Stegostoma tigrinum: one gene and its partner. The protein of the gene in region 2 purifies or fractionates together with the protein of the main gene of each other region. This does not show direct contact. Links are inferred from orthologs where the notes say so. Each region holds a gene or a part of one and is shown on either strand. Other genes may lie near its edges.

What was found.
Region 1: the proteins of fbxl4 (region 2) and BCL2/adenovirus E1B 19 kDa protein-interacting protein 3-like purify together in Homo sapiens (affinity purification with western blotting; 4 studies listed by BioGRID, with this or other methods). This does not show direct contact. The link is inferred for Stegostoma tigrinum from reciprocal best matches to the Homo sapiens genes FBXL4 and BNIP3L.

What each region holds. Positions count from the first base shown.
Region 1 is NC_081393.1:9,562,632-9,578,813, forward strand, and holds the start of BCL2/adenovirus E1B 19 kDa protein-interacting protein 3-like, read right to left. Parts: upstream 6,781-16,182; 5' UTR 6,572-6,780; coding exon 6,526-6,571; intron 1-6,525.
Region 2 is NC_081357.1:49,947,651-49,963,386, reverse strand, and holds the start of fbxl4 (F-box/LRR-repeat protein 4), read right to left. Parts: upstream 6,263-15,736; 5' UTR 6,115-6,262; intron 4,708-6,114; exon of another isoform or gene 4,670-4,707; intron 4,576-4,669; 5' UTR 4,502-4,575; intron 1-4,501. UniProt on the Homo sapiens protein: Substrate-recognition component of the mitochondria-localized SCF-FBXL4 ubiquitin E3 ligase complex that plays a role in the restriction of mitophagy by controlling the degradation of BNIP3 and NIX mitophagy receptors.

The DNA of each region.
Region 1 (16,182 bases), on a different chromosome or scaffold from region 2:
ACAATACAAGAGTCCAAAATGAAAAAAGCTACCTGATAATAAACCTTTTACTTGATCCAAAGAGACTAGGAATATATAGCAGGACTATTTCTCATCAGAGAAGGGTCACAGGAGAATAACAGTTCCTGTTGGAAACATCAACCTATTTTTGACTTTGGACTTCCATGTTCCAATTTAACCCGTTTTTCGAATGAACCTGTTGAAAGAAGCTATTACAGTCATCAGGAGCAGACGAGATTTGAATCTCAGCCGCATGCGCTGGGGTAGGGAAATACCACTGCACCACAAGAGGGCACCATCTGTACAGTTAAATGTTTAATTTTGTTTTGAGAAGCACTGCAAAGCAAAGCAAAGAAGGCCAAAATTCACCCCTGAAGTAGACTAGCTCTGCTCCACAATACCATTAATGCACAAGTTAAAAGAGGTCATATTTAAATGTTGCATAACATTTTAACAAGGAGCGATAGGGCAAAAGCAAAACACTACTTAAAATTGAGCTGGCGAAGTCAAAGTAAAATTTAAAAATGTGGCAAGTGCAAAGAAGAACAATATGCTTCTTCAAAAACTGTTAAACTATCATTTCATCTGATGGGCAGAAAATGGAAAATATTCTTTGGCATCAAATGCAACCAACCAGTTTTTTTTTTAAATGCTCAAAATTTAAAAGACAACAAACATGACTTGCAGTATACCTTTTTTTAAATCAGCACAGATAAAGACCCTTTGATCCAACTTGTCCGTGCTGACCACATACCCTAAATAAATTAGCCCCATTTGCCAGCATTTGGGCCAAATTCCCTCTAAACCCTAATTATTCACATAGAAGGCATCAGGATGGCTAAATGTTGTAATTGTATCATCTCCATCACATCCTCTGGCAGCTCATTCCAGACACGCACCACCTCCTGCAAGAAAAAACTGCACCTTACGGCCCTTTTAAATATTTCTCCTCTCACCTTAAACCTATGCCTTCTAGTTTTGCATTCCCCACAATGGGGGAAAAGACCTTGTCTATCTACCCCATCCATGTTCCTTATGATTTTATAAACCTTTGTAAGGTCACAACTCTATTCAATGTCTCACTATAGTTCAAATGCTCAAACCCTGGCAACATCCTTGTACATCTTTTCTGAACTCTTTCCATTTTCACAACCTCTTTCTTATAGAAGGGAGACAAGAATTGAATGCAGTATTGCAGTAGTGACCTGACTAATGTCCTGTACAGGCAACATAACCTCCCAACTCCAATGCTTAATGCACTGACCGATAAAGATAAGCAAACCGGACATTCTTCGCCATCCTATACACATGTGACACCTCTTTCGAGGTACTATGAACCTGCACTCCAAAGTCTCCGTTCAACAACACTCCCCAAAACCAAACCATTGAGTGTCTAAGTTCTGTCCAAATGTAGTACCTCACATTTATGTAAATTTAACTCCAGACCTGCCTCTCCTCAGCCCATTGGCCAATCTGAAGATGATGCTCTTGTACCCTCATGTCACATTCTTTGTTGCCCACCACACCTCCAATGTTGGTGTCATCTACAAACTTAGTAACCCTGCCTCCTATGTTCACATCCAAATTGTTTTCAGACAGGATAAAAAGCTGTGGACTCAGCAGCAATCTTTGTGGCACACCACTCATCACAGGCCTCCAGTGTAAATAGCAACCCTCTGTCTTCGACCTTTTGAGACAGCTTTGTATCAAAATAGCAAGCTCTCCCTCAATTCTGTGATCTAACCTTGCTACCCAGTATACCATGAGGAACCTTGTCGAACTCCCTACTGAAGTCCATATAGACCACACCCACCACTCTGCAGGCATCAATCCTCTTCGTTAAAATAGTATCAGAGATAATGGGAACTGCAGATGCTGGAGAATTCCAAGATAATAAAATGTGAGGCTGGACGAACACAGCAGGCCAACCAGCATCTCAGGAGCACAAAAGCTGACGTTTCGGGCCTCGACCCTTCATCAGAGAGGGGGATGGGGAGAGGGAACTGGAATAAATAGGGAGAGAGGGGGAGGCGGACCAAAGATGGAGAGTAAAGAAGATAGGTGGAGAGAGTATAGGTGGGGAGGTAGGGAGGGGATAGGTCAGTCCAGGGAAGACGGACAGGTCAAGGAGGTGGGATGAGGTTAGTAGGTAGATGGGGGTGCGGCTTGGGGTGGGAGGAAGGGATGGGTGAGGGGAAGAACCGGTTAGGGAGGCAGAGACAGGTTGGACTGGTTTTGGGATGCAGTGGGTGGGGGGGGGGGGGAGAAGAGCTGGGCTGGTTGTGTGGTGCAGTGGGGGGAGGGGATTAACTAGGCTGGTTTAGGGATGCAGTAGGGGAAGGGGAGATTTTGAAACTGGTGAAGTCCACATTTATACCATTAGGCTGCAGGGTTCCCAGGCGGAATATGAGTTGCTGTTCCTGCAACCTTCGGGTGGCATCATTGTGGCAGTGCAGGAGGCCCATGATGGACATGTCATCTAGAGAATGGGAGGGGGAGTGGAAATGGTTTGCGACTGGGAGGTGCAGTTGTTTGTTGCGAACTGAGCGGAGGTGTTCTGCAAAGCGGTCTCCAAGCCTCCGCTTGGTTTCCCCAATGTAGAGGAAACCACACCGGGTACAGTGGATGCAATATACCACATTGGCAGATGTGCAGGTGAACCTCTGCTTAATGTGGAATGTCATCTTGGGGCCTGGGATGGGGGTGAGGGAGGAGGTGTGGGGGCAAGTGTAGCATTTCCTGCAGTTGCAGGGGAAGGTGCCGGGTGTGGTGGGGTTGGAGGGCAGTGTGGAGCGAACAAGGGAGTCACGGAGAGAGTGGTCTCTCCAGAAAGCAGACAGGGGTGGGGATGGAAAAATGTCTTGGGTGGTGGGGTCGGATTGTAAATGGCGGAAGTGTCGGAGGATGATGCGTTGTATCCGGAGGTTGGTAGGGTGGTGTGTGAGAACGAGGGGGATCCTCTTAGGGCGGGTGAGGCGGGGGCGGGGTGTGAGGGATGTGTTGCGGGAAATACTTCTTCAAAGCAACTCCAAGATTGTGAAACATGATTTCCAACAAAGCCATGTTGACTCTCCTTAATCAGTCCATGCCTTTCCGAATACATCTAAATCCTGTCCCTCAGGATTCCCTCGAATAACTTGACAACCACCACCGATGTCAGGCTCACCAGTCTCTAGTTCCCTGGCTTTTCCTTACCACCTTTCTTAAACAGTGGCACAACATGAGCCAACCTCACCGGTCGTTCCTAATGATACAAATATCTCAGCAAGGGGCCCAGCAATCTCTTTCCTTACTTCCCACTTGCTCTAGGATATATCTGGTCAGGTTCCAGGGATTTATTCACCTTTGTGTTTTAAGGTGTCCAGCACCACCACCTCTATAACATGAGTATTTTCAAAGGTGTCACTCCTATTTCCCCACATTCTATATTTTCCATGTCCTTCTCCATTGTAAATAGTGATTTCATACTGTTAGATTTTGGCAGGCAGTACAAACAAACAAACATGAGCACGTGTGAACCTGACGCACTACCGTAGCCAGTCTTCATTAAATGTGGGCAAACCCACCCCCTGAATACAACATATCCACATAAACCTCCGAAAACCTTCTGCAAAATTTTCCTTTCACATTCCTTTTGGTGCATCCTTCGAAATTGTGTCACTGCCGTTCCACCCTACAGCAGTGCAATGTTCCATCATCTCCAGTTATTTTTTCTTTCAACAGCTCTGCCATCTGCATTACTGGTTGGTATATGGGACGCAATACACTTGACTTTCCTTGGACAAGTAAGTGTATAATGGAACTGGATGAAACAACTAACGTCAAAATGAAAATCTGACTCAAAAATTTATCTATGCTGTTAATGCTCATTTTACAAGCCATTCAGGAGATACAAATAACTCCCGAATAACAAGTTGCACATTAAGAGGCTGCCATAGACCACAGATTCCAAACAAACAATAAAACTAGCCAATTGAGTGCTCATTTGCACATTATATTTCAGCTTTCCAATTTTCCAGAATGCATTATCTCAGCCAAAAAAATACAGATAATTAGTACAGAAATTAGGAACCAAGTACATTAGTTACTGTACACCAGAAATACATGATTTGAAAATGAGGAAAGTAGTTACTCGGTTCATTTTTATTTTCAGATATCTTACTATTCAACAGTTACGCTTTCATAACTCCACTTACCAATGCAAAACAGTATCTTCAATGACACAAAGTAGACTATGACTTGCTCTATAAGCTAGTCAGACATTACCGATAAGGCAACCTGGCCTGAAAAAGGTACAGGATCAGAATCTAACAATGGTGGAGAGTGGGGAGGCGATGGTCTAGTGGTATTACTGTTGAACTGTTCATCCAAAAACTCAGATCATGTTCTGGGGACCTGGGTTTGAATCCTGCTGTGGCAGATGATGGGATTTGAATCCAACAAATATCTGGAATTAAGAGTGTAATGATGACCATGAATCATCGTCACTTGTTGGAAAACTCATCTGGTTCACTAATGTGAAACAAACTGCCATCCTTAAATCCATCTGGCCTACATGTCACTCCAAACCCACAACAATGTGGTTGACTCCAAACTGCAATTGGGCAATTAGGGATGGGCAATAAATACTGCGTGGCCAGCGACATCCCCATCCCATGAATGAATAAAGGAAAAAAAATTAACATGCATACTTTACATTCATGACAGCTACTTCCTTTTTCTCAGCTTCTTGCCTCTGAAAAACAGATACCTGATCAATAACATTTATTTATTTGATGACTGGTTTGAACAAAGCTCACATCCCAGTTGGTGACCTGATTTTCTATTTCCTGGATTGACTGGCCTCTATGTCTTTGAAGGTTTCAGAAACATCAAAATCTTGTCCGTACAAATCAATTCTGTTGCATTTTCTGCTGCAAAAGAGGCTGTATATTTTATTAAAGTAATTCCTTTGGTCTAAGTGCACAACAAGCTACAGTAGCTAAAACAAAAAGCTAAACAAGGGCTTCAGCTGAAAAGCAAGCCAGTTGCCCAGTTCATCCAATGTAATAATACATTTTCATTTCAGTGTACAAGTTTTCTTCACAAAATATTTGTTAAAATCACAGTTTCAGCTTTGAAGAGCAGCTCACCATTGAACTAATGTTTCCTGTGGGGCACAGTATCTTCCAGTCACTCAAATTTGGAAGTTATCTTCTCAGAATCAATGTTTTCATTGATTCATGCTAATACAATGATACAGAAACAGGTCACTGGCACAAATTAAAACTCATTTGTTTCATTAAAAATTACTTCAGTTTAAAAAGAATCACAGTACTAGTATTTAATTCTAAATCAACAACCATCACATTTCAGATTAATAGTGAACTTGAATACCATAATCCACAAGTATCTCCTGCTGGTACAGGCACATTCCACAGCTCTGTGGGAAGCTGACCAAGTGGGTATGAAAAATACATCATTGTATGTGAAAGCAATTCACTTCCCACAAGGTACTTTCCTAAAAAACAAAATGTTTCAATCGATCAACATTGGGAGTACAACAGACAATTGACCAAGATAATAAAATGTGAGGCTGGATGAGCAGGCCCAGCAGCATCTCAGGAGCACAAAAGCTGACGTTTCGGGCCTAGACCCTTCATCAGAAAGACAATTTACCAAATTGGCCCAAATCGTCAACTTCCTATGGCAACAGAAGGCGGCATAAAATTTAACCAAGAAATCCCCTGCTCTGTTCCAATCAGGGCACAAACTCTTTTTGGTCCATACATTGAGGTATTGTCTTTCAAATAAAACAAACAGTGCAGCATCCCCTCAGTGCTTCAGTGCAAGCAGCAAGCTGAACCAAGTGCTCAGGTTTTAATTATCGCAGGGAAGTTGGAACCCAGAATCCTCTGACACCAAGGCGAATGTGCAGCCACTGTGATCTGGCTCACGGAATGAAAACAGGCAGATTGCGATAACCTTGACAACGTCTATGGAGATTCACTAACTCATTTGCTCAAGGAGCTCTTGAGCATGCGTTTCCCTGTAACAGACAATGGGCTACCCAATCTAACCAGTCACCCGAGCCCGTTATGAGAAAGCAGACCTTGGGATGGCCTTTGCAGAACTCCCTGTCCCGGGATGTAGACACGATCACCAAGACTAACTGTGTCATTGAAGTACAGTTACCACATATTTTCAGTCGCTCACTGATGCGGCTCCAGCTTCACCTCCTCCTCACATTGACACCTCCCACTGGTAACAGCCCACGGCACCATCTCCCATTGGCTAAGGCCGCTGTCACTCACATTGGTGACATTTCCGCTTGTTATGTTTGTTTCGGGGTTTTCTTCTCCGGAAAATCCGGCCGAGCTCCGACCAATCAATCAAATTCAACCACATCCTCGCATTTGGGCAACACCACCAACGACAGGCGTTTATGCCTTCATTTGTTTTGAGGGAAAAACGCAGCGGTGCTACAAACGATCTAAAACAAAATATTGGTGCTGGGGTGAAGGGGGGGTGGTTCTTCAAACTTACCGTTAAGACAAGCGTCCTCGCTGTTGGCCTGTGGTGCGGCTGCCATTTTTGCGGTATTTGAGGAGTTTCTTGCTGCAGCCGCCCAGCCCTCACTCCGAGCGAGTGTCGCGGGCGCTGTTGGCCGTCTCCGACCGTTTGAATTTTCCAACGGTCCCTGCGCGAGCCCTCCGCCGCTCCCACCAACCCGGATTGCGCATGCCCCGACACAAGTCCTATCCCCGCGGAGGATACATGCCACGGAGACGGTGACATCACCGCAATCCGCCCCATTCCCGGAAGTAGCACAGCCCGAGTTCAAGTCCCACCTGCTGTGGGAGGTGCATCCGAACATGCGATTGGGACGTCACAACTCTTAGGTTTCATGGTCTTGTGGACAGAAAATACCCTGAGGAAAGGACGGGAGAGCCAGCTCAATTTCAGATGTAATAGGAACGAGAAAAGACAGTGCTAAAAATCGTCCAGTCAAAACATAGGGGTTGAAATTAGAAAGTTAAGAAAGAACGAGCACCTTAAGAGGACTGCACTACACCCCTGCCTCCCCCCAGCCCACACTGGGAAATTGAGGATCAAATATGTAAAGACCAGTAGTTATAGGTAAGAACAGGGACTTGAATTTACCACACTCACTGTGACTATCATTGTATTAAAGAGTTGGATGGTGATGCATCAGTTTAAGAAAATTTTATTCAACACATTTTAACAATACTTAAATCTTCCTACTACAGGAGATGCAAAACTTGACGTTCACTGAGGTAATAAGGCAGATTAAGTGACTGCAGTGACAGTAAGGGAAAATTTTGGATGTGCTGATCATTATTCTCAGCTTTAAAAAACGATATGTGAAAGGACAGGAGATAACACAGTGTGGAGCTAGAGGAACACAGCAGGCCAAGAACTATCAGGAATAGTAAAGTTGACATTTCAGGTCAAGACCTTTCTTTCGAAAAAGGGCAAACCTTCCATAAAACTACAGTTTTTAATGGGTATGAAACAAGAACTTTAAAAACTTCACTGGAATAGACGATTGACATGTAAAAGTACATCTGATAGTGGGAGGTAACAGAAGCTCAGAATCATGATGTTCATGTTAGAGTGAAAGGTAAGGAGAGTAGGAGTAGAGAACAATAGATCAATAAAGGTAATAAAATGTGAGGCTGGATGAACACAGCAGGCCCAGCAGCATCTCAGGAGCACAAAAGCTGACATTTCGGGCCTAGACCCTTCATCAGAGAGGGGGATGGGGTGAGGGTTCTGGAATAAATAGGGAGAGAGGGGGAGGCGGACCGAAGATGGAGAGAAAAGAAGATAGGTGGAGAGGAGAGTATAGGTGGGGAGGTAGGGAGGGGATAGGTCAGTCCAGGGAAGACGGACAGGTCAAGGAGGTGGGATGAGGTTCAATAAAGGTGTTGAGGTTCCTGTCAATAATCAATAGGCATCACATTAGATCTAGATAACTGGTCTCAAATGAATCTTGAAACAATCTAAAGAGTGTAGGGGCATTCTTGAGGTAGAGATGAGGATGGCAAGGCAAAAAAAAAAGAACAAGGTAACAAATAAGGTTAAGGATAACCCAAACAGTGCTCGAGAGCACTTAGACAGAGTGTAGGGCCCCTGCGAGATCCAAGAGGTCATCTTGGTATTAAACCGAAATGGGACCAATATTAAATGAATATTTTGCAACAGTTTTTCTGAGGAGAAAGGAAGCTAGAGAAGTCAGGGAAATCAATTTTGATGTTATGAAATTAGTTCACATTACAGAATAGGAAATGTTGGAGATCTTCAAAAAATTTAAAGATGGATAAATCCCCTGTCACCTGATCTAGTGTACTCCAGGACATTGTGCCAAGTAGGGAGGAAAGTGTGGGGCCCCTTACAAAAATATTTGTATCATTTAAAAATATGGGTGAGGTCCAAAGTGGGGTGTGGCTAATGCTGCACATTTGTTTAAGAAGGGATGTAAGGAGAAGCAGGGGAACTATAGACCTGTATGGTGGGTAATTTCTGGCAAGTAATTTTGACAGACAGGATTAATATGCATTTGGAGAGGCAAGTAATGAGCAGAGGTAGTCAGTATGGCTTTGTGCAAGGGAAATAGCCTCTTACAAACTTGATTCGGTTTTTTGAAGAAATACCTAAAATACCTGAGGTCAGTTCAGTAGACCTTGTTTACCCAGACTTTCATCAAGCCTGTGGCAAGGTTTTGCATGTTAGACTGAATTTGTAAAGTTTGATCACATGGGATTCAGGGAGCGATTACCAATTAGAGAGACAATTGGCTTTATGCGAGGAGATAGAGGATGGTGGAGTAGAGTTTTTTTTGTTCTGGAGGCCTGCGACCAGCAGGCTCGCACAGGGATCAGTACTGGATCCACTGTTTGTCATTTACATAAACAGTTTTGATGAGAATTTAGAAGACCCGGTTACGAAGTTTGCAAATGAGACCAAAAGTGGTGGTATAGTGGACAGTGAACAATATTACCTAAGATTATGAAGAGATCTTGATCATTTGGATCAGTGGGCTGAAGAGTGGCAGATCGAGTTTTATTTGGATAAACGAGTGCTATTCCATTTTTATGAAACAGACAATTGCACATTTAAAAGTATGGCCTTAAGTAGTGTTGTAGAACGAAAACACCTAAAGCATCCGGTATCTAACTGTTTGAAGTTTGCAACACATTGATACGATGGTTAAGGTGTTTAGCATGTTTACCTGCATGGCTGAGAGCTTTGAGTATAGGAGTTGGGATGTTACGTTGAGGTTATACATGATGTTGGTGAGGCTTCTTCTGGAGTGCTGTGTCCCAGCTCTGACCACACTGTTACAGGAAGAATTTTTTAAAAACTGATTCACCAAATGTTTCCAGGGATGGAGGGTTTGAGTCGTCAGGAGAGGCTAGATCGGCTGTGACTTTACTTATTTGAGCAGAGATGGTTGACAGGTGAACTTTTCAAGGTTAATAAAATCGCAGGGGTATAGATAAGGTTCATGACAGTTGTGTTCTCCCTAGGATGGGGAATTTCAAGACGAGAGGGGCATTTTTTTTTAAGGTGAGAGGAGGAAGATTTTTAAAAAACATGAGGGGCTTTGTTTTACATAAATGGTTTGTGTCTGGAATGAACTGCATGAGGAAGCAATGGATTCTGGTACAGTTAGAATGTTTAAAAGACTTTTAGATAAGTCCACAGATAAGAACTGTTGAAAGTGATTTGGGCCAAGCACAGGCAGATGGGATGAGTTTAGTTTGGGATTATGGTTAGCATGGATTGGTTGGACCAAAGGGCCTGTTTACATGCTGTTATGACTATCCATGTACCTGTATAAAATAAACACTGCAATTGTACTCAGCTCTTCCACTTCCTCTGGCAGTTCCTTCTACATGCACACCATCCTCTGAGAGAACAAGTTAACCTTTCATGTCCATTTTAAACCCTTCTCCTCTCACATGAAAATTATGCCCATTAGTTGTGGGCTCTACTACCCTTGGACAAGACCTTGGTTTCTTTTAATCTTAAGCTCCCTGATGATTTTATCAACCTCTACCAAATCAGCCCTCAGCCACCTACATTCCAAGGAAACAAGTCCCAGCACATCCAACATCTGCTCATAACTCAACCTTCCAGTATCAGTAACATCTTTGCACATTTTTTTTGTACCCTTTCCAGTTTAATAGCATCATTCCGATATCAGGGTGATTCGAATTGTACACAGTACTCCAAATGTGGCTTTACCAATGTCTTTTACAGCCATAACAAGAGTCCCACGCTCTGACCGGCTAAGGTAAGCTGGCCGAATGCCACTCTCAACGAACCTGGATCTCTGTTCAACAACACTCCTCAGGGCCCTGCCGCTTGCTGTTTAAGTCCTGCTCTAGTTTGTCTTACCAAATACAGCACCTCACACATGAAGTAAATTCTATCTGCCACTCCTCGGCCCATTCGATCAAGATCTCTTTGTAATCTTAGATAACCTTCTTTATTGTCCACTACACCAGCAAATTTTGTGTCATCTGTGAAGTTACTAACTACAACTCCTGTATTCTCATTCAAATTGTTCAAAAAATTGACCAGTGGACTCAGCACCAATCCTTTGGCATATCACTTGTCACAAGCCTCTTGTCTGAACAATAATCCTCTAAAACCACCCTCTAGTTTTTGGATCTTTTTGCATACCTGTCTACCACTTTGTGTATCTTCTCGGTCATCTCTTCGAAAAAACTCAATCAAGTTTAAGAGACAATTCCCCACACACAAAACCATGCTGTCTGTCATCAGTCCTTGCCTTTCCAAATGCATGTACATCCGGTCACTCAGAATCCCCTCTCACCACTTAACCACCACTGACTCACTAGTCTGTAGCTCCCTGGCATTTCCTTGCATCCTTCCTTAAATATTGGCTCAATATTCTTCCAGTACCTCACCCAAGCCTGTTGATAAAAATGGCAACAAGAACCATACCTCCTTGCCATCTGTCATGCTGCAGTGAACCTCGAAGGTCTAGTGAAGAGCTGTGATTATTTTACACAACTTGGTTGACAAGAGCAACTGTGACATCGACTGCCAGCACCCAAAGTGTTTTCTAATTTACTGTCTGTTGCCCCCTTCTATTCTAACAAATTCCATGCACTGTTTTTTGCAATATTCTTTGTTACTGATGTCAACTATGTACAGGCATATATATGCTTGAGTCAATTACAGGGTGATACACTCCAACGCATGCATTTTCCACAAACATCAATCCCAAACCCCACAGGATGCATCAATCAGCCCATGTGAAACTACACAATGACTACAGTGCTTTGTATTAAAAATATCTATCATTTGTGATGTGGTAGAAATGGAATTTCTGATTTATAAATATTATTCCAGCTTAGAGTAATCAGTTCATGACTCCAGTGAACCATACATCAGATCCATTCTAATAGGCAAAGGCAAATTTGTTCAGGAGCTTACTTGTCCTGCACCTGAGATGCCTTGTTTCCCTCAATCACAGATCTAATATTAACAATGATGTAAATTGTGGCCCTCATGCATGAAATTCCTTACAATTTCCAGCTTTTTAAAAGCTATTACTGTTGAAGATCAGCATATCAAATACCTTCCTACCTCGTTCAGAAATGTTCCAAACGTTAAAATAATCTGTTTTCTCTCGAGAGCCAGAAGAAGCACGCATTCCAAATGGGACAACAAGCTCAGAGACAACAAGGTGTAGAGCTGGATGAACACAGTCAGCCAAGCAGCAGAGGAGCAAGAAGGCTGAAGTTCTGGGTCTCTTCCCTTCTTCAGATTCTCCAGCATATGCAGTTCCTGCTATCTCTGAAACATGCTCAACAGGTCCCTTTTCTAACACATCGATACATTTTTCTGTCGAATTCAATCTATCATCGGTTCAGCATTCGGCTGCACCTCAGGGTCAACTAATTTGAAGTCAACAACATAAGTATTCGTATGAAAAAGTTCATGCAACTTCTATCTTCTGTTCCATTCAAGAGACCTGTTCTTCTTTAACCATGTTACCAATTTCACCATTTAGGTTGTATGGCTTGGTTCATGATTTCTTCTGAGACCCCAATTGTACACTATCATCAGGGTAGTTCCATGTGATTACAGCATCCGACACTGTTTGTTAAAAAATTGATAAATAAGATTGAAAGTCAAAGTCATTGTTCACACCTCTGATAAGATCTTGCGTTCAATGACAATGTCTCAAGGAAAGTTAAGAAACTCAGATCCTGTGCATTGCAACTTCCCACGAGGAGAATCATCGATCCAAGGTCAGAGACAGGATTAACATAAAGGTTTCCCAATTCTTCCGCAATTTTGTTTCATATTGAAAGATGAAAAGAAACCAAAGTCATCAGGAACATTATTTGCAAGTTTTTGGATCTGATGGACCGTACAGTGTTGGTTAGTAACATATGCATCTGAGGACCCTGTCTTTTACTTGTATTTTAACAAGTGGAGACTGAAATGAGAAACATCGTACCATCAAGTATTTGACAAGGTGTCTGCAGTTTTGAAAAGTAATCCGACTCCCACGTCGGACATCATGGGAATAACTGTTTCAACAAACAGTAATTGCAGAGTTACAGACAATCTGAAGCCAAGGGGTGGGCCACAGCAGCTGTTGCTGGCAACAAGAAGTTGAATGTGAAGTAGACAGTAGTCCACAAATCAATGACAGACACCTTTTTTTCTTGCCAACAACTGTCTGATTGGTTCTCAGGTGACTAAACAGCTTGGAGCTGTGAACACATCAAAACGCAAGGGGTACTCAGTTCTGCATTCCAAAGTCAAAGCTTATCATAAACCGGAAGAAAACCACTTCATATTTCCTGCAACAATCAGCGCATGCAGTAACTTTTAACCAGATATTCACAGACTTGCCCAAAATATTCCAGCCATTTTGTGTCTCTTCCCAACCGGTGGACCTAAGTGAGAGAAGGCCAACTGATGCCAAGCTCTTGCATTTGGGATCACATCAACAAAATTACCCGAGGACCAAGATAACTTAAATGTTTTACCATGTTCCCCTCCGTCCATAAGCTATTTACCTCACCTGTTTCAACAGCACAAAGGGGAGTTCATAAGGCAACATGAATTTTTTATTTGTGCCTTGTCTACAGTTTATAACTGTTTACCTGACACTAGAGTCTAATTTCTTGTAACGAATCCTAACTTTTGTTCAATCCAGAAGCTTGTCCAATGCTTTGTATCAATCCAGGTCTAAAAATACACCAACTTTACAAAGTGTGCAAACTTGGTATAATTTTGAACTTCTGTGATGACTTCAGAAATAGACAGGCTTGATTTCTATCACACTACCCGAATGAGGGAGACCCAAATGTTGCTTAGTTTCTGTCACCATCCATTCATGTGTCTTAAATAGTGTTCAGACTGTTTCTATGGGGAGGTAATGGCCACCTTTCTCACAGAATGGTCATGCAGACTTAGAGTTTTGACTGTATTCTTCTGATTCTGCGCTTTTGGGGCGCCTGTATTTTCAATCTGGAGCATTTTTGAGACAAAAGTTTGTACCAGATTAGTGTCCAGATTACAATTTGACACATTTGGAGCTCAGCTGTATTACACTGAAGAGATTATTTAATTCATTTTCAATATTCGTACGTAGGGAAAAAGAAGTATAATTTCCCAGCCTAATGCTGTACTTGAAAACACTAATTTTCTGGGTCAGATGGAGGTGTTTGGGGACTCACTGCCACATCAACTGCAGACAGGGTAAATGACCTGAAAGATCAGCACACTTGTTGCTCTTTAAGGAATAATTCAAAACTGTTGCATTTTCATCTGTTTCATTTCTTCCACCCTCTCCTGATGCAAGTGTCCTTATTGTACTTTCAGATAGTGTTTGAGTGGCAAGAATTAATGAATTTTTTTTTCATTAAACAGAATGTAAGTAGTATTCAGCTAACCTTGTAAATAAATTCAACATCACCACTGAAGATTCAACCTCTCCACAGCTTCCCTGGAGCTTTGTATTCATTCTTTCAACCTGCACTATTGTTTCTTCACCTGCAGATCTTAAACCCTGACCCAGTTTCAGGTTGTGAGCATGACAATATATATCATTGCGATATCAACACAGTCAACCAATTCCAATGTTGGTACACTTCATGAAATAAATGCAAAAACTTTATCCAAGCTTGATTTGACATTATACGAAGAGTTCAACAGGTGAAAACTTAAAATTCATTTTATCAAGTACCTGACTTAAACTTCCATGTACTTGTTCTGGCATAAAGTTAAAATCAATTGATGTATCATAATAAAATTTAACTCTTACCTGCCAACCTGGTTTTGCTGGTGAAACATCTAGCTGGCAAACAGTCAGAATTTAAATAGCTGTAGAAGAGTACAGTTGAACTGACTTTTCTCAATTCTTCAGACGCCGTCCCATTTCCCATGAACACAATTCATAGTAACACACTTCCCTCAGGCTGCTCTGGTCCTTTAACGCAATGCTGTGTCAAGGAATCAGGGCTGTTCTTCTGCACTTGAGACACTGAACAAGAGAAATACAGGTTAGGACAGTGTCCAACTGCCCTCAGCTCATCCTGCACTGCTTTCTTTTCATCCACCATTCATGCGGAAGGTGAAGAATTTTTAATTTGACCCACAACTCAAATGAGTAATCTTTCATATCGTGCATAATTGGGGTAACCAGGAATCTGAACATGCATTGGTGGCCCAAAGCAGAGGATGTGCTGCACTGAGGGCAACATGAGAACATAACCTGGGCATCATTTTTGACTCAAATTGTGCAGGATCTGGTAGCCAACTAAGTAGATGTGCACTTTGCTGACAGCAGCAAATACAGACAAATGGCGAAAATGCAACTTCAACTATTAGTTCAACCATTTACTCTGCACTTCACTGAAATAAATCACAATAGCCATCTTTTTTGACACAGCCATTCTCTTCACTCCATCAAATTAAACGACACTTAAGATGTCTCAGCCGCTAATGCAGATGCGAATTCAGTGAGCTCTTTATTTTACTACTCTACTCTAGATACTTTATACTTAGTCTAGAAATCTTTCATTGCTTAACCAAATTCAGTGATTTTGTGGCAAGGGTGGCAAACCACGGTCAGAAATGTAAATCTCAAAAAGATTAAAAATGAACCAGCCCATGTATTTGTCATGCTCACCAAAAGCATTTAGTTAGTTATTATATTGTGATTGGCAGCAGAATTTTCCCTGGCATATCTACGTTCTCACCTGAACAATCACACTCTCTCATAGGCCATTATTTTTCAACATTACATTAGGTCAGCATTTCAACACAAACCAAGAATCAAATCTAGTTCACAACAGGAAACAGCATCTCATCAATCAAGAAACTGGACAAGAAAAATAGTTTACTTCTAAAACAAAAAATGCAGAACATCAAAAACAAAACTAACGATGAGTCAGAGAAATACTTAGCAGATCTACCTATCCCTGTTAAAACAGCTCAGAGCAGGAGATTGGGTCCACATGCAAAGCTTGTCTGATACCAGCTCACTGGTTACATTCTTTAGATACCATGCTGTTTTTTTTCCTGGGTCACTACAGTGTTTCAAGCCCAAGAACATTGCGGTTAAATGTTTTGTATTGCCCTCATCTTCCCAAATGCTCTGAACACTGCAGCTCCTGGGCTAAATTTTACAATTGTTCAAGTTTTATTTGAAGTGAAATTCCAGAGTCCACTTTAACAGTGACTTGCAAAAAAACTTCCTTATACCACCAATAAACTTGATCAAAAATCATCTCAAATAAAACCTCAAACCAACTGCCAATTTCAGTTCTATCAAGCCACACCTAGTATAACCTGGCAATTTACGAACAGTTGGTGATGTCAGCAAGATTTTCCTTCTTTCATTTTTCACAGGCAACCATTTAGCAGCGCTTAGCTTTATCAATTATCTTACACAACTTCAAGATGCCCCAATATGCATAATTTGCCAGGAAATAAACTTGTCTGAAGTGCAGTCACTCTCCTGTGGCAGCTAATTCACTCAGTGCAAGGTCACAAAAACAAGAATCAGACTGAGCATCACATAATCTGTTTAGCGATCCTGTTTCAACAAATGACGTTCAGACAGAGCTGTAATGCCGGATTATCATATTTACCGCTCAGTTTACCTTCAGTTCAGAC
Region 2 (15,736 bases):
GAAAATATTAGAGCCAAGCTGATAATAGGGTATAAAATTTTTGACAGCCTTCACTGGGGCTCCTTCAAAAGCATCTTCCAAACCCGCAATCTTTACCTTTTCGAAGATCAAGGGCAGTGGATTTGTAGGAATACCACCTAACCCCACTCCAAGCTACAAATCATCCTCCACCTGGAACTATATTGTGCAATGATGAAGGAATGGCAATCAGATTTCCGGAACTCCCTTCCTAACAGATTATACCTTGCACTCCATTCAACAGCGGATCACCACCATCATCTCAAGCCCAATTAGCAATGGTGAATAAATGATGGCTTAACAAGCAACACCCATATCACAACAAATAAAAACAAATCAAACTGTCGCATTTACCATGGATCGCATTTCATCATTGCTAGAGATGGCAGCTTTTAAAATGGAGGAATATTGCTTTGAGCCGTATAAATTCCCACTGATCTGCAGAAAGTGATACAATCAGAATTCCTATACTCTTCAGGAATTATCTCTTGAATTAATATATGTCCTTAAAATTCCCCCTTGTACAACATGTCAGAAACTGCATTTTTTTTTATCCTTCCAAGTGAAACATAACATTGGGGAGACACAGCACACTCTGGCCTCAACATCACCTCTTAATCCTAAACAAAATGTTAAAAATAAATCAAAAGAAGAGTATGTTTCTTAGGCTTTATAATCCTACAATGTTCCAAAAAAAACAAAGCAAAGGACAACCTTTAACTAAACACTTTAATTTTACACAAATAAATTTAAAACAATACTATACCCAAAGACGCCCTTCACAGTTACTGAAGAGCTATATTTCAGCAATGACTTTACTGCCTTAGCACCTACCTAAGTGATTGAACAATAGAACCCCAATAGTATTCCGACTAATGTTACCCATTTGCCGAAGTATTTTTTTAAATCAGATAGCAACAGCGTATTTTCAGTGTAGCATTTTCAAATACAATTACCAATACTTATCATAGATATCCTATAGCCTTGCAGTAATGATACTAGCTCAGCAACTGTTCGTGAGTTCAAAACACACAATAACAAGCTGTGAATTTAATTACAGTAAATCTGGTAATTTTTAATCTAACACTAGGAAAATAACAAGTAATCATTTTTGGATCAGTAATGTCCTTCACAGAAGGAAGACTGATACCTGTACCCAATCTGTCTTACAAATGACTTTCCCAGCACTTTGTGATTGACACTTGATACTCTACTCATTTGGGGATAAACAACTATGCTTGGCTGGTGTTGCCCAGATCCCAAGATAATCTTTTTTAAAAATTAATGCAACATGTACAAAGTCCAAGGACATTACCATGAATCGTTATAACATTTGAATTTTACCTCAACTGTAGCATTGTGTCTAATTCTTGGTTTTGGGAAAGATGTGAAGGGTTTAGACAAGGTGCAGAAATGATTTCCAATAATGATTCCAAGAACAAAGAACTTTTGTTACACAAATAAGTTGGAAAGTTAGAGCGGCTCTCCTAAAGGAGGGGACAATTGAAAGGAAATTTGGTAAAATCACTCATGGTCTAGACAGGATCAACAGAGAGAAACTTCCCATTGGTTGACAGCTTAATAAACAGAGGGCACGAATTTCAGATGAATGACAAAATTGCCAATAGTGACACAAGGAAAGATATTTTATGTGGTGAGTTGTTAGGTTTTGGAATGCATTACCTGACAACATGGTGGCAGCTTTCTCAATCAGTGTTTTCAAAATGGAATTGTTTAAGCACCTGAAGAGGCAGAGCTAGAGGGAAAGGGTGGCAGAACTGCTTTGCAGAGAGCTGTTTGACTCACAACAGGCCACATAGCCTTCCTCTGTGTTGTAATGATACTACTGATCCACAATGTCAGTTCAAGTTAGATTTCAAAATTACCATACTATTGAAAATTTGCACTTCTGTACATCTCTGGAGTTGAGAGGACAGAATATTTCTTGCAAACATAAAATAATGGCAATTTCAAGCGTATGTTAAAGCTTTAATTTAATCATCGGTAGTTTCTGATATAAATCATAAGAACAAAGCATAATGTTTTACAGGCATCATCTGAATAACCAGGTTAAACTATCACCTTGCGCGGACTGACTACAACTTTTGCTTTCCTATACTATAGTTTAAATAACACTAGAGAGAATTCAGCTTCAAATAAATACTTCCCTGAAAGTATGAGTGGGATGTGGAAAAGCTCATTAAAACCACCAGCAGTTTTTGAGCTTTATAAATTAGTCATAGAATAAGAGTACAAAAATGTACAAAACATTCCTGAGGTCACTTTAAGAATAGTGAACAGTTTGGGTGATCTTTAATAGAAAACACATTAAAGCCACACAGAATATTCATTATAAATTCACCAAGATAATTCCAGCAATGGGAAACTATAGTTACAAAGTGACCCTCAAGATACTGGGACTATTTCTTGAGAAGCAGACAAGGTTATGGTGAAATTAATACAGCTGATTTTGATACAGTGAGTAAAAAAAGACAGGGTTTAATGTCAGTGATGAGAGGTCACATTATGACAAAGTATGGAAACAGCATAGGAGAAACGGCTTGAATTGCTCATGCATGAAATGTTTTGTCACAGAGAGTGTTTGAGCCAGAGACCTTCATATCTTTTAAAGAAAAACTGGACAAATATTTAAAGTAAATGAACATACAGAGTATGGGAAAGAATAGGATAAAGAGATTAAATGCATAATTCAACGAATCAAACAATACTCTTTTAAGTTCTCACCAATGTCTTCCAGTTGGGCAGGACTGCTCTCCCCAGTTCCAAATTTATCGACTCATATGTAGCCAGGGAATAATTTACAATAACAGTTTCTTCTATTCCTGTAGCATTACCTCTGATACTCCCAAGGATTTATCCACGCTCCGCTCCTACTTCTAATCTACTTGCTAACCCTGGGCAACATCATCCAAAGGTAGAATGTTAGTTTTCACATGCACATCGTACCTCAGCATCACATCCTCAACTTCTGGTTTTAAATTATCTGACATCCCTCGAGTCAACAACTGCATCCCTCTGCCAGTGGGAGAGTCTGAGCTTTAGCCAACCTGTCTAGAATCTTGCTGTCACATTTAAGCAAAATGGTCTTTTGACCTTATGTCTGTGCCTTTATTAAAATAGCCCAGCTCTATTTTTGTCACATCACCCCATGTTAGCTCACCTGCTGCTGCTAAAACCCTGATTCATGCCTCATTACTTCCATCTCAACAATTCCAATGCTCTTCTAGCTGGATTCCTATAGTATACCTTCCACAGACGTGAGGTCATTCAAAATTCTGCAGCTTGTGTCACAATTTGCAGCCAGTCCTGCTCACCCAAAACCTCTCTGTCCATTGACTAGTCCAGATTCCCAGTCAAGCAACATCGATTTTAAAATTCTTAGAGCCAGTAAGAACTGCCAATGCTGGAGCCAGAGATAACACAGTGTGGACAGCAGGCCAGGCAGCATCAGAGGGGCAGGAAAGCTGATGTTTCAGGTCAGGACCCTTCTTCAGAAATGTCTCTATGGTCTTACCCTTCCCTATTTCTGTCATCTCCTGTAGCCCTACAACCCTCAAAACTATCTGCACTCATCTAATTTTACCTCTAAAGTGTCACCAGATTTATATAGTTTACAGTGAAGGTAGTTCCTTCAACTACTGTGTACAGTTCTGGTTGCCACATTACAAAAAGGATGTGGATGCTTTGGAGAGGGTGCAGAGGAGGTTCACCAGGATGTTGCCTGGTATGGCAAGTGGTAGCTATGAAGAGAGGTTGAATAGATTAGGATTATTTTCATTAGAAAGACGGAAATTGAGGGGGGACCTAATTGAGGTCTACAAAATCATGAGGGGTATAGACAGGGTGGATAGCAAAAAGCTTTTTCCCAGAGTGGGGGACTCAATTACTAGGGGTCATGAGTTCAAAGTGAGAGGAGGAAAGTTTACGGGAGATATGCATGGAAAGTTCTTTACACAGAGGGTGGTGGGCGCCTGGAACGTGTTGCCAGCGGAGGTGGTAGACGCAGACACGTTAGCGTCTTTTAAGATATATTTGCACAGGTACATGGATGGGCAGGGAGCAAATGGACACAGACCGTTAGAAAATAGATGACAGGTTAGACAGAGGATCTTGATCGGCGCAGGCTTGGAGGGCCGAAGGGCCTGTTCCTGTGCTGTAATTTTCTTTGTTCTTTGTTCTATCTGGCACTTTGGAATTCACCCCCACCCCAAATCTCTCTACCTCCCCAAATATCTCCTTTAGTAAGCTATTTAAAGCCTAATTTTCTGATCAAGCTTTTGGTTATCTACCCTAATTTTCTGGTGTAGTATCACACTTCATTTATTATATTTCGGTGAAGCACACTGGGATATTTTACCTTAAGGTCAGTAAATTAATACAAGATGTTGTTGTAAGGAAAGACTCACTAAAACAAAGCAGGACACGTGAATGCTCAGTAAATGGATACAGTATTGGATCATACCAATTATTCGAGAAGGAAACATCTCAAACACCTCTTCTTGTGGGAGACTATCATTAAGTTATTGGAAGGCTGGTCTATGCAAATAAGGAAGAAACAAAAAATCAACAAAGTTAAATTATAAAAACTGAAAAACAGGTAATACAAATATGCCAGAGTCTTCAAACAAACCTGCAAACAGCAAGTACTCTAAAGCTTGAAACTGTTCCTTCAAACCATCCTGAATGTGAAAGTTAAATGAAACCAACTTTATGTAGCACTTGTTAATGACCGTAAGAGGTCCCACAGCACTTCACAGCCAATGAAGTAGTTTGTTGAAGTGTACTTACTGTTAAATGCAAGAAATACAGCAATCATTATACACACTCAACACTCCCAGAAGAGTAAGGTAGTAATAACTAAATAATCTATTTTCGAGATAATAAAATGTGAGACTGGATGAACACAGCAAGCCAAGCAGCATCTCAGGAGCACAAAATGCTTGGCTTGCTGTGTTCATCCAGCCTCACATTTTATTATCTTGGAATTCTCCAGCATCTGCAGTTCCCATTATCTCTGAATCTATTTTCGAGGATTTCTTTCAGGATAAGGATACCTTGGATAAGCCCCCTTCCATTCAAAATAGCACCTTAGGATGCTGTGCATCCACCGGAGCTGGAAGATGAGATTTGTCTTATGCCTGAACTGAAAGACGCTACCTCCAATCGTGTAACAACATCAGTCAGCAACAAGTTGTATTGGAATGCGGAGACTTTATCGTGTTTTAAGCATGATGTGGAACCTGAACTTACAGGTTTGTGATTCAAGAATTGGGAGCGCTATTAAGCCATGACTGGCCCACTCCATGTCTTATTTTATGATATATAGTTTAATTTATAGATTCACAGCATTCCCACTTCGTACCTACAATGCATAAACGCTTAATAAATGGGAAACGGGAAAAAAAATAAGAATAAAACGCCATATAAACCACCTGAATTGCATCGTAAGTGGAAATATTGTACGCTTGTCACGATCATTTGTTGAAATGAAACTTGGACCTTTATCGTATAATGGTCGGTCATTTTCTGCCACGTTTGAATTGATGAAAAAGCCAAAATCCATCACACCAATGCAAACGCGACAGTGTAAACTGGAACCTTTTGTACAAGACATTAAAACTGGCGATTTCTTTAATTTGTTTAGTTGTCGCACATCAGGGAAATCTTTGGAACAAAAAAAAGATACATTTACAAAAGGTGGAGGTGTTTTTCTTTATTTTGTGTATGGATTGCAGCGGATGGTGGGTCAACTTAGTGGACATTGGATGCGGAAGTGTCGCTTTGGAACGTGGAGACAATGGGTACGTTCTGTTTGTGGAATGTCGGCCTCGCTCTTTGATACTCTGCCATTGTGACCAACATTCTGGAACTGGAAGGCGGAGTTGCAAACTCCACTCACAGACAGTACTCTGTCTTGTCAGCTCCACCAACACTGGAACTTCCGCTCGCATACACCCTGCGCAATAAAGCGGCCAGGCTTTGGGGGCCTTTGGGGTGCGCTACAAACACAACGCTTATTATCACCCTTCCACCCCCCACGCACAAAAAAAATGAATAAATGTACATTAAATGTACCTGTCGCTCAGCATTTACAGGCGCTGTGTAACTGCGTGTAGAACAGATGATTTGTTTATTAAGCATGTTTTATTCAATCACAAGACGGGTTGTTTTGTTTTAAGTCTGTCTTTCTGCTCCCTCCGTAAATGTAAACATGTCACCTACAGCCGGGAACCCCGAGCAAACCAACGGCGAAGATTGCCGGGAGTTGTAGTCCTGTTTGTGACCAAAGTGAAACCATTCCAGTCTGCCAGAGGCCCTTTTCATAAATATGCACATTATCTGAAAGTCATTTAGCAAATAACAGTTTTTGAGCACACTTTTTGATAGGGATTGTTAAGCTGCTACGGCAATAGAAATGTAACAAGGACGTTGATTGCTGTTTGTAATTAATAGTAAAAATAGCGTATTTTGTTTCTTTTTTTCCCAAATGATAACTTTACTAAAAAAAAGTACACAAACAGTTACAATTTTTCGAACTACCTGATTGCAGGCCAGGGAATCTACTATCTAATGGGTTATCTTAAAATGTGAAAAAGTACGTCAAAATCCCAAAGTTCTTATTAAAGCCTTAAATGAACAAACATAGATTAACAGTCGAAATACATTGACAGAAAGGTTTATGGTTCCACTAAGGGTTGCCAACTCCATATTTTCAAATCCCCAAGCCTCACTTTTCAACATCACTGCAAGCTCCTTCAGCCCAAAATGCATTGGAATATCTGCATTTGCCTCTTGCACATCTATAATTTTAATCACTATACCTTTAAATGTCTGAGCTAAAAGCACTCTGGAATGGCCTCCCTAAACATCTCAGCCTCACAACTCACTTTCTTCCTCAAAGAAATTTTTTGGACCATGGTGTTAGTCATCTGCCTCCAGTGGTTCAATGTACTATTGTGAACTTTAATGCTTAGCACATTTTACTATACTTTTATACAATATAAAATGTATCATAAGACGCATTCTATCATGGGATATTTGACATTTCATTTAACTGAAGTAGATTGACTTACCTGTAGTTAAGAGTCTTTGCGTATGAAATGTTTTGACAGATGCAATTTGCAAGACCAACAACAGAGATAAACAAGGATAGGGAAGAAGGGAACTAAAGGTGGGATACAACTTGCAACAGGGAAATCAGATTTGGAAGAAATGTTAATTATTACCCTGTTAATAAGACAGTCCTTATGATAAAGATATTGGAATGTTTAATTGACAGAACTTTGAGTTGATTATGTCAAGGTATATTTGTAAAGGGTATGTTGTGCTGAGCAAACCTAATTGAATCTTTTGAGAAATTAATTAAAGTAGTAGATGGAGGAATGACTTTGTATGCATTCTATGTGGCCTCTCAGGAGATAAAGTTTTGCATAAGATATTGCTGACTAAATTTAAAGCTGCTGCAGTTGTTTAAAAGATTTAAGATAGCACAAGTGGCCTAGCTAGCCACCTTTAGACATTTTCCTAATCAACCTATTCAGATATGTCATCACACACTTCTGGAGCAGGTGGGATTTGAACCTGCCCATCCTGATCTCGAGATGGGGATGCTACTACTGTGGCACAAGAGCTCCAGATAGCCACCTTAATGATCAATCCTTAAACTGAGCTGGTACATTGAGGCTCTAGAGAGGTAGCTAGTGACCAGGCAGACGCTGTTGTCAACAGTGTCAATGACTAGCTAAGTTCCATGCCATCATTTGCCATTTTCTAGATGTGAAATGCAACTAGAAAATGACAAAGACAACACCAAAAGTCGGTACAGCTAGCAAATACTGATTGCAAGCTCCAGCTATATTAAAGTACCAAGTATTTCTTTGCTGGGCAAGCATTGGCTGAGTGGTATTGTTGCCAGACTATTAATCCAGAAACTAAGGTTATGTTCCGGGAACCCAGGTTTGAGTCCCACCACAGCAGATGGTGGAGTTTGAATTCAATAAATATCTGGAAGTAAGAGTCGAATGATGAGCATGAAATCAACTGCTGATTTGTCAGAAAAGCCAATCCAATTCACTGATGTGCTTTCAGGGAAGGAAATCTTCAATCAGTACCTGGTCTGGTCGACATGTGTCTCCAGACTCGTGCAATGTGGTTAATCCTCAAATGCCCTCTGAAGTGACCTAGCAAGTGCTCAGTTGTAACAATCACGACAAAGCCTCAAAAGAGAAATGAAATGGACAAACCACCGGGCATCAACCTAGGCACCACAATTGACAACAGCAAAAACAGTCCTGTTGGACCCGCAAAGTCCTCACTTCCACAAACATTCCATAATTCCACCACTGACACTCAATAGCAGCAGTGTGTACACACTGCAGAAATTTGCCAAAATCCTTAGGCAGCACTTATCAAACTCTCAATCACTCCGAGACAAACAAGGGCAGCAGATACGTGGGAACATCACCACTTGCAAGTTCCCCTCCATTACCAATCACCAAGCTACTCACCATCCTGACTTGGAAATATATCACTGTTACTACATTGGATCAAAGTCCTGGAACGCCCTCCGTAGTGGCATTCCAGGTCTGCGTATAGCAATTTAAGAAAATAGCTCTTCCACCTTCTCAAGGGCAATTAGGATCAGCTAAAATGATGACCCATCCAGCAACACTCACATCCCATAATATAATAAAACAAATAAGAAACTGAAAATATGCAATGCATATAGAGTAAACCTGTTAATGTGTCAAATTTTAGTCAAAGGCATATTACAACATGTCATTGGAGCTGGCTAAACTTACAGTGGAATTCAGTGATGCAGAAAAATGCCTTAAAAGAAAGAAAAGGGTAACCAAAAGCACTCCTTCATTTTGAAACTTCCAAGGGTGCTCTGGGACAAGAGGCACACCGCTGTGTCATCTGTCATGTAACTATGACGATGGGCTCTGATGAATGCAGTGAAACATGAAATGGTTGATGTGACTATGAGATGAGAATGGTGTCAGAGCATAGTCACTTCTCTATTTTAACATGTTGGTCACTCAGCCATCACAGCACCTTCATGAAGATGGTGCAAAGAACTGCTGACAGCAAATTTTCACAGTTTGTAGCAAACTGGGGCTCCCTCCAGTAAAGCCAACACAGAATGTGCCATACAATCCTGCTGAGCTCTGCACAGCTGGAGCAGGTAATGTGATAGATGCTGAGGAGCCGGTCAAATGGGTGCAATTGTCCGAGAAGAAAGATAAGAGCATTGAACTGTAGGAAACTTTCCTTGTGGTGAAAGAGCTCTGCTGCATTAGTGCTACAGGAAACTGATTGACACTGGGTTCCATTAGATGCAAGCTGGGTGCTGAAGACCATCATGGACTGTCAAGGCCAAAATGCCAACCGTTGGATCGCAATGTATTCCTTTTTGGTGGCTGTCAATAACATCTTTGGCCTGATTCAAATGTTTGTCTATACATGACAAGGTACAGGTCTACTGTGGGCTTCAGAGAAAGTGTAATTGTGAATTCAGAGGGTGTTTAGTGGAACTTGGCTAAGGACAGGTAAACTGTGTGAGAGTGGGTGAATAGGGTTGTATGTGCAAGGGATTATCAAGCGTGCTGGCTATGTGCCATAGGCAACATGGCTTTGTGACTGCAGTGTTATTATGCTACAAGTGGTGGTGCAGGTGTGAAGGATGGCAGTTTTTCGTCAGAAAGCCAGTGAGTTGTTCTAAGAATGCCACATGGCAAGATGGGGATAGAAGCAGATGTGAGGTGAGTCAGTCATTAATGAGGTAAGTTTTATAAGGTACAGTGAAAAATTCCATTGGGCTTCACAGAAAGAATTGCTCCAAAAACTCAACGCAACTTGCACATGACCAAAAAAAACCATAAGATTTGATCTGAGAGACAGAGAAGGTAGAGAGAAATTGTTCTCCATAGCGGAAGGATGGATAACCAGAGAACCTGAGCAAGAAGTTTTTGTTGCAATAACTCCTATGTGTCTGAAAATTCACAATGCAACATGGTAGTGGATATGGAAACCATGGGCACTTGAAGAAAATAAAATAAAGGTTATGAGGACTGTTGTGACAATTTGTTATGGTTGCAATTGCTGGTTAGCCATTCGATTTATCAAATCATTTATATTGTTTCCTACCATTAAATTCTTGATTTATTGGACATTGAAGGCTGGTTATTGTATTTTATTTTAACCAATGTCAATGTACTTCTCCAAAAGTCTGTTTATTGAATGTTGTACACTTGCCCAGTGGGAAAAGCATTTGTCATCAGCCTTTATTGTCTTGAATGATTGATAATATAACAATTATTCGTTAATGTAGCAGAGGGACTCTACAACTACAGACAGTGTACGGTAGATATTTTCTTTATTTTGTAAAACGGTACTACTTATTATACAAAACATTGTGCAGATTTTCATTTTGAATTGATTAAACTAGATCTAATTTTTAGCTGTAAGAAATGTATAATATTTTAACATACCCTGGATTAGCAAAATGGCAGTACAAGTGAATAATTTAGCAGCTAAATTCAAAGTTTGTAAGAACCAAGTGGTGCATTCATCAATGAGCTGCTTTGTTATTTTTAGCAAGTATAAAAGAAGAACTTGTTCATTTATTTGAAGTTGCAAAGAATTCAAAGAATTGCACACTAGCACAGTCCAGCCTGGCATTTACCCTCTAATTTCTTAAGATATCACTGGCAGCATGATGGCTATGGATGACAGCTGAATGAAGGCCATCTAAACTGAAACAATGCAAGCCTTTTACAGTACGACAGTTGTTCCCTAACAATAATGCATTCTCATTTTTGAATGTCAGCAATTCAGAATCTTGATGTGTTGGACCATCAAATAAAATGTTTTCAGAGACAGATTCGTAATTCCGAAGTAATTATTTTAAGCATTCCTGGCAAAGGGTGGTTTTGAATGAGCTCTTGCCTGTTGTGGATTCCAGGGAGAATGAATTCTCTTTGGGTTGACATACAGGCCCATCTCACTGAGGAAAAAAATGGCTGGACAAATCATTCATCTATGCAAATGCAACTGGCGAATGGTCAAATGCATTTATTACTAACGTCATTATAGTAAACAAGACAAAAATCATAACTGGCTGTTATTGACATGTTGGCAAGCATGATTTGTGCGCCCCTCACTGATATTCTAAGGATTGGAAAAGGCATTCCAACGGGGATTTGTTTATAAAAGAGTAAGTTTCATCTAGTCAGATACTTAAGACAAATTTGATTGACAAGCACTATTTTTTTTAGAAATCCATTGCATATTTAATTAAAGAACAGACTAAAATGAAAAGTAATTGTCATTATTACTAAACAAGCATTCTCACTCATAAATATTTTGTAGTGGTTCTTTATTACCACAGTGAATATTCACAGATCACAATCAGCAATAAGAACTTGCAAGCATATGTCTGGATTAAATAATAGATAATGTTTTAATGAAAAATTAAATTTGCTCATTTTAAATTAAAAATTTAGCCCATAGCTACTTTGATAAAGGTCTCTTGAATTTAAAAGTCATTAACACAGAGGGTGTGCAAAGCAATTTGGTTTGTTTCTCAGACTGTCAATTATAATAGTTGTATACACAGTGACACTACAATACTTCTCCACCACTACATGTGTCTTCTTCTGTCATGTTAGAATATTGGTATACTTTCCTCAGGCTTTGCATTGACTGAGGGGATATCACATTCCAGATTTTGTGATTTTAATTTAAGGCAGAAAGGGCTTGGGTATTGGTTACAGGCTCAATGATTGGCCTTCAGTTTGTAGACAACAACCACCAGGGTCTTAATTTTCTCCTGTGTTTTGATGTGACTGAATAGGCCAATCTGTTGACTAGTTGATCTTTGTGTTTAAATGGCAGGATTTCCCATGAGTTAGTGGGCTATGAAGTGCATGATTTGCTTCCTTGTATTTTCTACTTTGCCACTGCTCTGCCTCAACATTAACATATTTGGGGTCATTGCAGATTGATGGACAAATTATTGCCATTTTTAATGATTGGTAGCCAACTTCTCCCACTCTTTAGTGAAAATGCTGCCATGCTTCAAACAAGGTCCTGAGTGTTTTCTTTGTCCCCTGCTGTGAGTGCTAACCATTTGAGATAATGAGAAAACAGGAGGGCAGGGGACATGCTTTTCAGCCTTATTGATAAAGTTTTCTGTCTGAAACTCACAAAGCCCAGAACTATGGAGGCCTAGCCTATCAACAGCAAGGTTTCAGTAGCATTTTATTCTCCCATTTCCTGCCTAGTAGCCAATCAGGTGGACAGTCTTGCTAATGCTCTTTGAAAATGGTGGGTGTTGGGTTCAGGAGCAGAACTTTTAGAGTTGGGGCTCCATGATATTTTAATGAGGTCAAAGAACTTTTTTGTTCCCATGGGAATTCAAGCCCATGATGTGTCACAGTGTTTCACAAATAATAAAGTGCATTTAAAATGTCACTGTTACAGTGTAGGAAATCTAAAACTGTTTCTGGAAATTGGGTGATTGAGCTTGCTGGAAAGTGGAGTTAAGGACAGTTACAAAGAAACAGACTTCCTCTACATTGGGGAAACCAAGCAGAGGCTTGGGGACCGCTTTGCAGAACACCTCCGCTTGGTTCACAATAAACAACTGCGCCTCCCAGTCGCGAACCATTTTAACTCCCCCTCCCATTCCTCAGACGACATGTCCATCATGGGCCTCCTGCAGTGCCACAATGATCCCACCCGAAGGTTGCAGGAACAGCAACTCATATTCCGCTTGGGAACCCTGCAGCCCAATGGTATCAATGTGAACTTCACAAGCTTCAAAATCTCCCCTTCCCCCACCGCATCCCAAAACCAGCCCAGTCCGACTCCGCCTCGCTAACCTGTTCTTCCTCTCACCTATCCCTTCCTCCCGCCTCAAGCCGCACCTCCATTTCCTACCTACTAACCTCATCCCGCCTCCTTGACCTGTCCGTCTTCCCTGGACTGATCTATCCCCTCCCTACCTATACTCTCCTCTCCACCTATCTTCTTTTCTCTCCATCTTCGGTCCGCCTCCCCCTCTCTCTCTATTTATTCCAGAATCCTCTCTCCATCCCCTTCTCTGATGAAGGGTCTAGGCCCGAAACGTCAGCTTTTGTGCTCCTGAGATGCTGCTTGGCCTGCTGTGTTCATTCAGCTTCACACTTTGTTATCTTGTCTTCTTTGTGAAACCAGTCTTTCCTGTTTTTAAAATTGCCAGCATTCCTTGAGTGCTATTTTAAATTAGAAAATAATTAAACATGAAACTTGTCAAATAGGAATAAACAATGATTGTGTGTAATAAAAATAGCGAGAACCAAAAAAGTTTCTTATTGGTGGCAACTTGAACCATGCTAGCAAAGCACCTGAGAATGATACAGAAGAATGAAAGCATGATCCTGTTATAAGTTGAAGATATTAATGTTGCAAACAGCACATCAGTTGGCACATGGTGTAAGTGACACATTAATTGTTGTAATGAGAGAATTCATTCTGCATTAATGGCTTTCTTTTGTGTATCAATGACTTGTTTTGGGACAGAATCAAAAATAACATCTGGTAAGGTTCCGTCAATCATTAGCAAGCTAATTTAACTATGAGTTACATTTTGACATTGGTATAATGGTAAACACACGGTTCATGCCAATGTTAACAGATGTTGGTTCTTGATGCTGATTCTTGTACTGTGTATTAAGTCCAATGGGGCAACTATAACAAGGGTAAATATCTCAAAGAATTAATCTTGATAATTGTTCTGATAAAAATAAGCCTGTAAAAGTTGTAACTGGTATATTTCCTATTCTAATAGCCCATGTTCAATTGTATTTGAACTTGAAGGAAAAGAAGATGACTAAGAGTTAAATTAACTGGTACTCTAGTGAAAGAATTGCAATATATAAGAAAAGAACTTCAGCGAAAATGAATTAGTGACCACTACTTCTGAAAGAAACTAGGACACAAAATTTTGATATTTCTTTAGGTTTGTTTGTAGATCTGAGTTGGTGTTGGAATTCCAACAAATACCTAACTATTGTCAAGGCTGTACCTCCATTTTCTCCTTTACTGATAAAATATCATGGGGTAATGACAGGCACTCAATGTGCTCTCCTCCTTTTGTCAATTTACAGATCCATGCCTCGAGGGCTGGTAAAATACAATAAAATAAAATACAAGTATCCAAAGAAAATGAACCTCTTCAAACCCATTATTTGAGATAAGATCAGTCAGTGTTGCACAGTGTCTAAAAGGATTAATGCTGAAAAAAGTCATGAAGTATCACTTAATGTCTGAGGAACAGCTTGTTTAAGATATGACACAGTGTCTCCTTGTTAGACTACCAGATGGTTTTCTGCGACCACACTGGACCAAAGCAGGCCGAGATAACAAAGTGTGGAGCTGGATGAACACAGCGGGCCAAGCAGCTTCTTAAGGACACAAAAGCTGACATTTCGGGCCTAGACCCTTCATCAGAAACGTCAGCTTTTGTGCTCCTAAGATGCTGCTTGGCCTGTTGTGTTCATCCAGCTCCACACTTTGTTATCTCGGATTCTCCAGCATCTGCAGTTCCCATTATCTCGGACCAAAGCAAGCCGTTTTGATCCCTTCAAAAAAAAGGGGGCGTGATGGTAGTAAATCTATCAGATGGATCTCACACCATGATGAGATGTGAAGAGGGTTCAAATTACAACATATATCATTTTCAAAATGTGTGGATTAATTAAGGATAGCATTAAGATTTGTTAAAGACAAGTATAATTGGAAAATATTCGATAATCTAGTTTGAAGTGAATGTATTAGAGGTTTAGAAGTTATTCAATGAAATGTCTCAAAAGATGCTCATTGGAAAAGCATAGTGAAGGGAAAGTAGCAGCATGCTTAATGGAGAGAAAACAAATTGTTACACAACATGAACATTCACAGTTTATAACTAGGTTTCAAGCATCTATAGATTATAGGTCTCAGAATATTGGGGCCAAAATGTTTTGTTTATAAATCAATCTTAAACCCACAACTGCATATGTCTTAGTTCATAAATATTGAATTTATTTTATCATATACATTGTTGTTTCTAAGAAGAAAAAGGCAGGAAAAATATAAATGCCTTAGCATAACTGGTAACAGCTCTGGCATAAACTGTTACAACTTTGGCATGGGTGTCCAAGAACATTCAGTGAGAAGATGAGTACCTTTATTCTTAGAATCATAGAATGATTACAGCTCAGAAGAAGTACATTTTGCCCAATTACAACCTTCACTTTATGTTGCCTCTGCTGATGTTCCAGCAAAAATGAAGCTCCTCGCATTTCTCTGCATTATCTTTAATCTGCCACTTGACCACCCATCCACCCCTACCTATCTCCTTTAGAAGTTATACTATCTACCAGATGTACTGTGATAACTTACCAGTTTCCTTCAACCTCCAAGTAATTTCCAAACCCACAACCTCTACCACCTTGAAGAGAAAGAGCAACAGATGTGTAGGAAAATCATTATCTGCAAATTCCCCTCTAAGCCTCCAACATTCTGGTTTTGAACAATATTGATGCTTCATTTTTGTTGGGTCAAAATCCTGCAAGTCCTTTTCTAATGGCATTACCCAATTCCAACAATGGTATCTGTAACTCCACAGACTGCAACAGTTCAAGGAAATTATCATTATTTCATTCAAGAC